Linked DNA regions of Drosophila melanogaster. The protein of the gene in region 1 purifies or fractionates together with the protein of each later gene. This does not show direct contact. Each region holds a gene or a part of one and is shown on either strand. Other genes may lie near its edges.

The links.
Region 2: the proteins of CG9436 (region 1) and cbt purify together in Drosophila melanogaster (affinity purification with mass spectrometry, with the first as the bait; one large-scale study listed by BioGRID). This does not show direct contact.

The regions. Positions count from the first base shown.
Region 1 is NT_033778.4:6,756,746-6,760,978, forward strand, and holds CG9436 (uncharacterized protein), read right to left. Parts: upstream 2,159-4,233; 5' UTR 2,027-2,158; coding exon 1,091-2,026; 3' UTR 856-1,090; downstream 1-855. Other genes in the region: CG3420 (uncharacterized protein), read right to left, coding at 1-112, 175-222.
Region 2 is NT_033779.5:475,902-481,773, forward strand, and holds cbt (cabut), read right to left. Parts: upstream 3,788-5,872; 5' UTR 3,575-3,787; coding exon 3,506-3,574; exon of another isoform or gene 2,304-3,505; coding exon 1,086-2,303; 3' UTR 545-1,085; downstream 1-544.

The DNA.
Region 1 (4,233 bases):
CGAAGATCGTACCGTTCTCCTTTTGCAGAACGGCCGTTTGCTTATCCTCGAGCAGGTTACTGGGAATTGTTTTGGCCGAGTCCACCGGTTTTGCGCTGGAACTGTAGCATGCCTGCATGGGAGTAATGCCTTGAAATCAGGGGGTGATCTATCTTGGCTATGGGGGATGCCTACCTTGAGCAACCAGGATGCCCCCAGGTTCCGTCTTAGTATCATTGACATTCTAACGCTAATTTATTTTTGTTCTCTTTATTTAAGCTGATGATTGCAGTGTCGAAAGTATCGATATGTTGTCATCGGTGGTGATGGTGTTGCAAGGTCGTACCACTACTTTTACCAAGCTCAAATGGGCTCATTGAGAGTATGGATAGATACTGCTTTAATTTACATCTAAAAGTTCACAAATATATGTCTCTTCTGGTAGCGAGAAAGAAAAAATGTTGCAGATTTTCAAACTGGGCAGTGCTGCCAGACCGCCCCAGCTGAATGCACAGTGGTGCAAAACGTTCGGGCTGAATGTTAATGTTATCGGCAGTCACTCCTATCGATGCTCTATCTGCCGTTATCGCTGCCCAAGGTCGCCAATTTAAAATTTGATTTCAGAATTCCGGAATCTGTTCAGCTGATAAGCAGAGATATGATTCCGATGCGCCTGGAAATGTCTCTCCTCGTTTGGAGGTATTTTAGCGTCTATCGCAGACATTCATCTTAATGAAAGCTCGTTATGTGCCCCATACTTGACTAGGGAATTCTGAGTTCCGACCGACGGGTGCACACGCCGAATTCTCGCAGATAACACGATTTATCAAGCGGCCCCGTTAGACAAACTGATTAGCCCGACAGCCCAGAGATCTTCTACGTAATATACTTTATTTTACAATACAAATACTACATATGCGGGGTGTCTTACGAACCTCTTCCAGTAAAATATTAAGGGGAATTAATGCACGGGTTTACTCGAAACCTTTTTAACTTTGAGTTAACAACTAAAACAAAACACCCCTCTTGGAATGCCACAGTCGTTTTGTTTGCATTCCTAGCCAATCCAATAACGGCGAAACCGATATTTCTGGGACACCCCTGAGCCCGTCTAGAACTCGTCGTTGAACGGGTAGTACTTATGGCCCGACATTCCCGAAAAGGGTACCGTGCGCTGCCCGGTGTGATACTGCTCCATGCCGGCGACGTCGTCTGGACTCAGCTCGAAGTCGAAGACGCGGAAGTTCTCCTCGATGCGGGCCTTGTTCGACGACTTGGGCAGTGGCACCACGCCTAGCTGGACCAGATAACGCAGGCAGATCTGTGCCGTGGTGCGGCCGTACTTCTTGGCCAGATTCTGGGCATGCTCGTCGTAGAGGAAGGGCGGCCACTGCCGAGCGGGCTGGGGACGTGCCAGGGGGCAGTAGGCGCAGATGACCAGTCCGTGGCGCTTGGCATGCTCCCGGAGCTGGCGCTGCTGAAAGCCTGGGTGGCACTCCACCTGGTTCACTACCGGCCGGATGCGGCAGTTGGCTAGCACTCGCTCCGTCTGCGCGGCGTTGAAGTTGGACAGGCCGATGCTGCGCGTCAGGCCCAGATCCACCAGCTTCTCCATCTCGCGCCAGGTGTCCAGATAGTCCACGTCCGTCAGCTCCAGGGTTCCGTGCACGTTGCTGTCATTGTGGAACTTCTGGCCCACCGGCATGTGCATCAGGTAGAGGTCTACGTATTCCAAACCCAGGTTGCTAAGGCTCAGGCGGCAGGCGCGCTCCACCAATGCAGGGTCGTGGTGGATTCCGCCTAGCTTGGTGGTCACGAAAACCTCCTCGCGTGTGACCACTCCCTCGGCGATCTTCTCGGAGATCGCCTGGCCCACCTCAGCCTCGTTCTCGTAGACGAAGGCGGTGTCCAGGTGCCGGTAGCCCACGTCGAGGGCGTGGCGCGTTGAGTGGTAGGCGTCCGACTCGAACGACTTCCAGGTGCCAAGGCCCAGAGTTGGCATCTCGCGCCCGTTGTTCAGCCGGATGGTGGGAGCCAGATTGGTCATCTTGTCGCTGGCGCTGATAATTAACGCTGTGCAAATTGGACGCTTCTAAGTCTAAACCAGTGCTACTACGCCTTTCTCGCGATCAAATCTCTATCTGTTCCAGCTCGTCGAAAGCTTCGCGGACAACTGTTGGCTCGCACAGCCGGTTTCGATGATTTTGTCACGGCGGCCGAGCAGCTGCTGTGTCATCCGGTGACGTCACGGACAACGCGCGGTTATTCCCACCAGCGTTGCCAAGCTGGCCTTTTCCCACTACATCTAGCGTTTTTCAAAAGCTCAGCGGGGGAGGAATTGCGATCTAAAATCTGGCGCGATGTATAAAAATATTTCAAGGTACGCACACAAGTAAGCTTAATTTTAACGTTTAAAAACATAAGAACGACATTAATTGAATTGTATAGCATACCAGCTATGCGAGGTTTTCTCCAATTGCTGAATCGATCGCGAGTGTATGGCAGTGTTGTGTCCAGCAGCGACTAGCGGGAATTATTCAAAGCAGATTTTTAAGACAAATTTGAATTAAAATCAAATGCCGTAAAGAGCAGATAAGGTGAGAGTAAATCAAACGTCTAATATCATGGACCAACTCCATCCGAAAAAAGCCCAAGTAGGGGGCGGTTTACATAGATGGAATTTAGAAAAGATCAAGACAGAAGAGTTGGCGGGAAAACGAGCAGGTAATTGTTTGGCTAACACAAGTCCAGGAGTGGTCATCTCTAAATGCTTAGACCTGATGGGATAGGAACTTAAATTAGTTTGAATAAAATTTTGTTTTAAAGCCCTTACGTGTATAAATTAAACCAAAAACTCAAAGCATTTTTAAAATATCACAGATTGAACTCCGATTCCATATTGCCCAAAACTATAAAGAACAGTTAAGCTTTCAAAAATAATATAGCGCCCTCTGAATACAAATAAAAAAAACCAGTAGCAGCTTGCTAACACATAAATCTTTATTCGAATATTAGTTGAGTTCAAAATGTTAGACATTCAAAGATATATTTTGTTACGCTTAGGTTCAACATTTAGGGTATTGAAATATCTGCTCTGCATTGCACAAATCTCACTTCGGGGTATGGGTTTTCTGGTTATTAGAATATGTAATTGGTAGTACGGCTAAAAGATCGCTGCTTCTGCTGTACATACCATAATCGATGGATTAATTACTTCTAAGTGGTTGTTGGTGTTGTCTTCTTACTGTGAGCTCTGTGAGCCGTCTCGTCATCCCCATTACGAACTATTTAATCTACTTTGCTATTTGGTAGGTAAGTAAACTTCGAGATTGTTTTGCGTTAGACATGTAAACACTGATTTGAACATTTATTGGTTAGAACAAGTTACGGCTCAAACATTTACTGACTGATTACGACTGATTGGCTTTAGCTATATCCTGTTAACGGAGGTATATACGTATAGCATGAATATATCTTTTTTGTGCATCAGTGAGTTACCCAATGATGTTGAATTTATGCAAGTGCCTAGGCTATATTGGAGAAAATAAAAGTTCGTAGAGTTATGTTTTGAGATTGTCAAATCGAATCACAAGTGAAATTGGAAATTTTCCCTTTTGGAGTACTTGCATATTTGATATATGTACTATATAGTATGCAAAGTGTATTATTGAAAGTGCACAACAATAACAATAGTGGTGGTGTATTGTTGGTATTACGTCTACATATGTAGCAGTACTAAAAATGTAGAAACATTTTTGGTTTTGACACGTAAGGAGTTTCCGTTGTGGGAAACGATTTCTTAACACTAAAATAGTTTCTACGGTCCATATGCTAGATTAATGCATCTGCTAGATAAATATTCCTAGGTATGTGTACTTTTCTTGTGCCATTAGCACCAAAGAGTTGGCTTATTTCGAATATTTCCTCAGAGGATTGTAAGATTGCGTTGGGTTTAAAACGCCTACACAATTCTATGTGAGTGATTCTGATAGATTCTACCCGTTTCCGTAGCACGTGGTGTAGATAAAGTAATTAATGGCTTTCCAACTCTACTTACAAACTGTACCATACTAAAATTGGTGTTGCGTTGCTTGTAAATCAATTCGAAATTGTTACATCTCATTAACTATGAACTAAAGAATATTGTTTCGTTTGAATCGGTTCGTTATATCTATAAAAGTATTATTGAATATTCGTTTGCATTTGCTTTGTTTTATTTTTGAAGGAGAAACCACTGGATTATAGTTGAATATA
Region 2 (5,872 bases), on another chromosome or scaffold:
CTGTTTTGTTCTAGATATATTTTTATATTTGTTGGAAGTTTTACCTAACTATCCGGCCTAATCAACTATAAACATTTTTTCTATTTACGCTGGGCAAAAAGTGTGGAAAGTTTAGTAAGTTTATATCTTGTTTAATTTTAAATCAATGGATATTGAAAATTTTAATTTCATTTTAGATTCCCAAAATGCCCCTCTGTTTTGGGTAAATACATTTTAACATATAAGACAAATGGCTTTTATAGCTAAAATAAAATAAAACCAATTATTTCAAAGAATATTGAGCTGCACCGCATTGAAACATCCTTCTATATACACAACACACTCATCCACTCATCAAGCAAAAAACATTCCACACTCAAGACTTAGTTCAATACCAAAATGGGGCTACATACTTTGCAAATTGTTTCAGTCGGATGAGATTTTTAAAAAGGTAAGCATAAACAATTTGGAATAGGGCTTGTCATTCTAAAAAAAAATTAAGTCACCGCAATAGACTTCTGCCCAATTACGCTTCCCTCCCAATTCATAGAATAACTTTAGTTTTCTTTGGAAAATATGTATATTTTCATTTGTTGAGATTGGAATCGTGCGATGATCCATTATTCTATTTGTTTTCATTTTCTTTTTTTCACATTTAGCAATAAATACAATTGTGTGTGTTTTAGCTTAAGAGAATTACACTGACAACTATGGTACAATAGAAAAGAGTTAAGAAAACTTAAATATCACAGATGTTGGACGCCGAATGCGTCTCTTTATAGTATGTACAAACACTAGGGATATTCAGAATATTAATCTGAAGAAGATCGCTTAGATAAGAAGTGTGCTGTGTGCTCCTGGAAAGAAGTGGCATCTATCCGATTTGGGTATTACGTATTGAATTTGAAGTTGATATATGCACAAAACGGTGACAAGATCTAGCTCCTAACTAAGCTTAAGTCTACACCAGCTACATGAGAGCGAGAAGGCATTTCGAATTTGACTCAGATGTTAATTTGTTTTGAAATTTGGTGGGAATTCATCTCTGTTTAGCTGGCGATACTGTGGGGCTGAGATTGGTTCTGATGCTGCTCGCATTGCTCTTCTCATCGCTGCACTTGAAGCAGGGTTCCGCCGAAGGTGAAACTGCTGGCCTGCTGCTGTAGCCTCAGCAGATCTTGGGCGCTGTAGACTTGCAAGCTGGCGGAACTGATGGGCGAGGAACTAGCGCTGGAGCCCGCCGGTGCTATCGCTCGCAAATGGAGCGAGGCATCGCAGAGGGAAGCCGCTACCGAAGCTGATGTGTTGTTGTTGGCCAGGGAGACATGTCGATTCACTCCGTTCGCCTTGTCCTTGTTGTGCCGTTTGACGTGCTTCGACAGGTGATCGCTTCTCATGAATTTCTTCTGGCAGACGCTGCACTGGAATTTCTTTTCACCGGTGTGGGTCCGTTTGTGTCGGGACAACTCATCGGAACGGGAGAATCGTTTGTCACAGTTCTCCCACTTGCAGATAAAGGGTCGCTCGCCGGTGTGAACCCTCTGGTGGGCCTTCAGATGACTGCTTTTGAAGTAATTCTTGCCGCAATCGGGAAAACTGCACTCGTAGATGCGACTTCTGGTGGCCGCCGCCTGGGCGGCCGTAATTCTGGTTGTTAGTTTCTCCTCGGACATTGTTGGCGTTTTGGGTACGGGTGTGGGGCTCTGTTGGGCGGCCACTGTGCTGAGCAGGATAAGTTGGCTGGCAGACGAAGCTACTGGGCTAACATATATCGGTGTCAGAATAGGTTTTATTTCCTCCTCCTTGATGCATTCCGCTGGAGCAGGTGGCGTTACAAGCTTCGCAACTGGTGTCTCGGGTGTTTGTACTGGGGGTAGTGCCACTTCTGCAGCACGCTTTCTGTTCATTTTGAACTTGAGATTGCGCCACACATTGGCCTCTGGATAGTCGTCCTCCACAGTGGGTGGTACTGAACTTGTACTTGTGTTTGTGTTGGAAGAGGAACTACAGCAGGAGGTGGAACTAGATGAGTTCTCGTCTTGGCTACTAGAAGAGACAGCGCCAGAACTGTTGACCCGCATGATGACGCTAACCCTTTCCGCTTTCTGATCATCGTCCAGCTTTTGATCCGGCGGCGGTGTCATGCTCATAGCAGGTTGTTCCAAACGGGGTTTCTTGTTGGGAACCGCTATTTCGGGAGCCTCGTCTTCCGTGTCCGATGGATTTGGTGTAATAATCCCTCCATTTTTCTGACTCTTTTGGGCCACCAGCTTGAGCTTTGCCTTTAGCAGATTCTCGTTCACCTGTTGTTCGTCCTTGGCGACCTGGAAAAGGAAAGAACAAGTTCAGGGTTAGTCAGAGTTCGTTAACATTGTCGAGTTTATGTTCTGAGGAGTGCATTCACATTCACAGTCCCATTCACTTTTCGCTGACCAGCATTGACCCACAATAACTTTTCCTCGCAATTCGCTAATTACGCCGGCGGCTGACAAGGCCGTTCACCGTTAACCTTCACACACCCTGCAATACCCCGCCCAACCCCAGGTTCAATGCTCCTTCGAAAGGCCAAGGGAACTTTGTTTTTGGCGGTTTTTGAACTCTTTTAAAGGCCGTTTGGGGTGACAGAATATTACTCATTAACTGTTGCTGCCAGCTGTGCTTTAAATTATAGACGTATGTAAATGTTAAAGGTGAATACTGTATTGATGACCACATAAAAGTCTTTAAATTGATGTGCTCCTGACAGAAACAAAAAATGTCTTAAAATTTTAAAAACTGTTCTTAATATGGACTTTTCAAATTTCACTACTTAATTTTTAAGGATGAAAACATGAGCAACTGTTGCGTTTTCGGCGCATATTCTAGAACCATTTAAAAATTGCGCCTAAAAGCATGCAAGGAAAATGCAGCCACACCACCAGTATTATTATGACGTGCCTCAGGTGGGTGATTTCATGGGGAAGGCGAATGCGAGGGGTGTATTATGACTCGTGCGAAGACGTCGAAATCTTTTTATGGGCTCGGCACGTTGCGCTCTAATGTGCGACAGTGTTTGTTTGTTTCTTTCTTGGCCAGATAAAAAACGAGCCAGAAATGTGACATGGTTTTATGGGTTGGGGCTTGGCCTGTTTGCCTAGCTTTTGGCTAGGCCCTCTCTTTCCTCTCACACTCCACCGCTCGCCTACAGTTGCCAATTGGCAACTCACCTTCTCTCTTTTGCTTTTCTGTTGTTTTTTCCTAGTGGTGCCAAGTCCAATGTTCAGCTGCGGCCTCTCGCTCGCACTCACACATCACTCGCTGTGCATGCGGTGTTCACGTGAAAGCGTGTTGGCTGCGTGATCGCATGGCTGTGTGCGAGTGCGAGCGGGACGAGGCACTTTGTTTTTAGAAACGCGGCAAGTGGGAGCGAGAGCGAGCTAAGTACGATTCCGTTTGATTTTCCGCTGCCTTGAATGCACTATCCCCACTCAATAAGCACTAATTACACTAGCGTACACTGTATATATCCACTTTGTAGGTCACTTACGATTTCCAACTTGTTTTCCCTTAGTGGGGGCGTTGCGGGTGGTGAAGGTAGCAAGGTATCCATGTCCATTGCACTTTCAAATTTCAGTTGCACTCTCTTTTTTTTATTGAAGAGTCTGTGTTTGTTTGTTTGTTTTGTTCCGGGGCTAATCACTTGGTTTAATCTCAGTTTGTGTAGATTTTTGCACTTCAGCTAACTTTGCACTGGCGCTTTCAAGTGCCGCTTGCCGTTTTGGAGCGAAGGCGAACCGTTGCGTTCGGAATTCAAGAGACGAATGAAAAAGGCAAAGCCATTCAGCTCCCAGCAGAGCTGCCGCCGCCGACGCCGCTGCCGGCAGAGGCTGTGCAAGTGTGAGTGAGTGGAGCCGCCGACGACGTAATCACTTGGAAACGGGCAAGTGTGTGTGAGCGGGCCATCGTCATCGGCAGTGGAGCAACCAGTGCAATGTAACCCGGACGAACATCAGCCAGCAACGTGGGCAGCACCTCCTCGGCTCCTCTCTCTCGGGCGCAAAAAAGAAAAAGGTCAGGTCTCCTGCTCACTCACCTCTCAGCAACCCACGTGCACCGGACAAAATAGCCCGTAAAGAATGACATCTCTGTTAACTCAATTTTAGACTGTAATGTTGGTTGGCAATAAGTTAAAAGAGATTCAGGTGAACCCAAATCGTTTTTAGTAAACTCTCTAAAAGTGTATGGCTATTTTAAATGTTGCCATCTTTTCCGAGAAGACCCAAAAAATCACCGAAGCGATTTCTTTCTGTGCAGGACACAGACACACAGCCAGTAGGAGAGAGGCCCGCAGAGCACGTAATCAACGCATGGACGTCATCAGCTGTTCACTGCGGGGTCTTGTGTTTGGTGCTATAGAGAACGGGTCAGTAGAGGAGGAGCTGGGGAGGGTGTGGGGCTCCATCGGCTGTCTATTCATGGGCTGTGCATGCCCCAGCCGCGTGCACAGCGCACACCAACCGACACACTCACAGACACACCCCAAAGCCGTGTCTGAGTAGCTGACGTAGTTGTTGCCACGGAAGTCTGTGAATAATCGGCTGAAAAAATACTTTAAAACTGGCTCGAAACCTGGCAGACGCCCCTCAAGCTGAAATCTAAGACCTGGCCGCATATATTTGCATTAACTTTGGAAGTCTGACTTTAAGCAGACACGGATTTCATTAATAAACGAAAGGCATAGTGCGAAAGCAGGAGAGTATGGGAGCTCAACAGTTGACGGGGAGCATTGCCAGGCCCAAGAAACTGGGAGATAACAAAGATGAGTCACGAAAAGCAGGCATTTCAAAATCCTCTTATTCACCACCAGTGAATGCATGTAACTCAATTAAGTCGTCAATTGATTACATTTATTTTGTTTGAAAACCCTCCTAGGACACGGGTAAATTCTACCTGGCAATGCTCGCGTTTCGCCTGTAACAGTTTTCAAAGCAAAAAGGGGCTCGTACACAGAGCACACACACCAAAGAGCGAGCGGCAGAAACAGCTGTGGTTATTGGCGCTCTCTTGCGCAACAACAACGAATAACTAGCACGCCATACCCCACACCAGACTTGTGGGGCGACTGTTCAGGCCGTGTAGGGTATTCAGGGGTAGCATGGGAGCAGCTAGATTAGATGCAGATCTCTGAAAAGTTTAAGTTTTATTTTTCTTCACATTCCCTAAAAAGAAATTTTATATTTGTCGTTACTAAATTAATGTCATTCCATCCGTCTCCTACTGCTTTATCGCCGCTTTTAGAGGGTATGCCCAAGTGGACCCCTCGAAAATAACCTTCTTGACGGCTGAACAGCTCGCCTGCGTGTTTTATGGTGTGCGTGAGTGTCTGTGTGGGTCCGTCTGGTATCACGCGTTGACCTCATGATGTTCACGTGAACATTTGTTGATACTTTGCCTGAGCGGACGAGTGAGTGAGTGCGAGTGAGACGAGGCGAAAATGCCAGCAGTCTGTGGCGTGCCTATCTGTGCGCTTGTGTGCGTGTGGGGGTTTGCAGTACTTGCGTTTTTGTTTTTGTCTTTGCTTCGTGTTTGTGATTGGAATCGGAATTCGTGTGTAAATTTTGCGCGGAACTTGAAGCGATGGCCTCCACTCTCTCGCGAATGTGGGCGTGTAAATGGGCCGATATACCGTTACCGCACCCCTCTCCATTGCGCCCCACCCCCCGCATTTTGAATGCAAACTGCGGCGCAGTTGAAGCTCCCCACCGGCCAGCTCCTCCAGTCCTCGCAAATCCATCAAGCGGGAATTCATGTGCATTGCGGAGGCTGAACACAATCAGCAGCCGCAGGTTAGATCTAAAAATAGACGTATATCTCGGCTCCCCGGCGGGTTCAAGTTCAGTTCCCTTGACTTGCA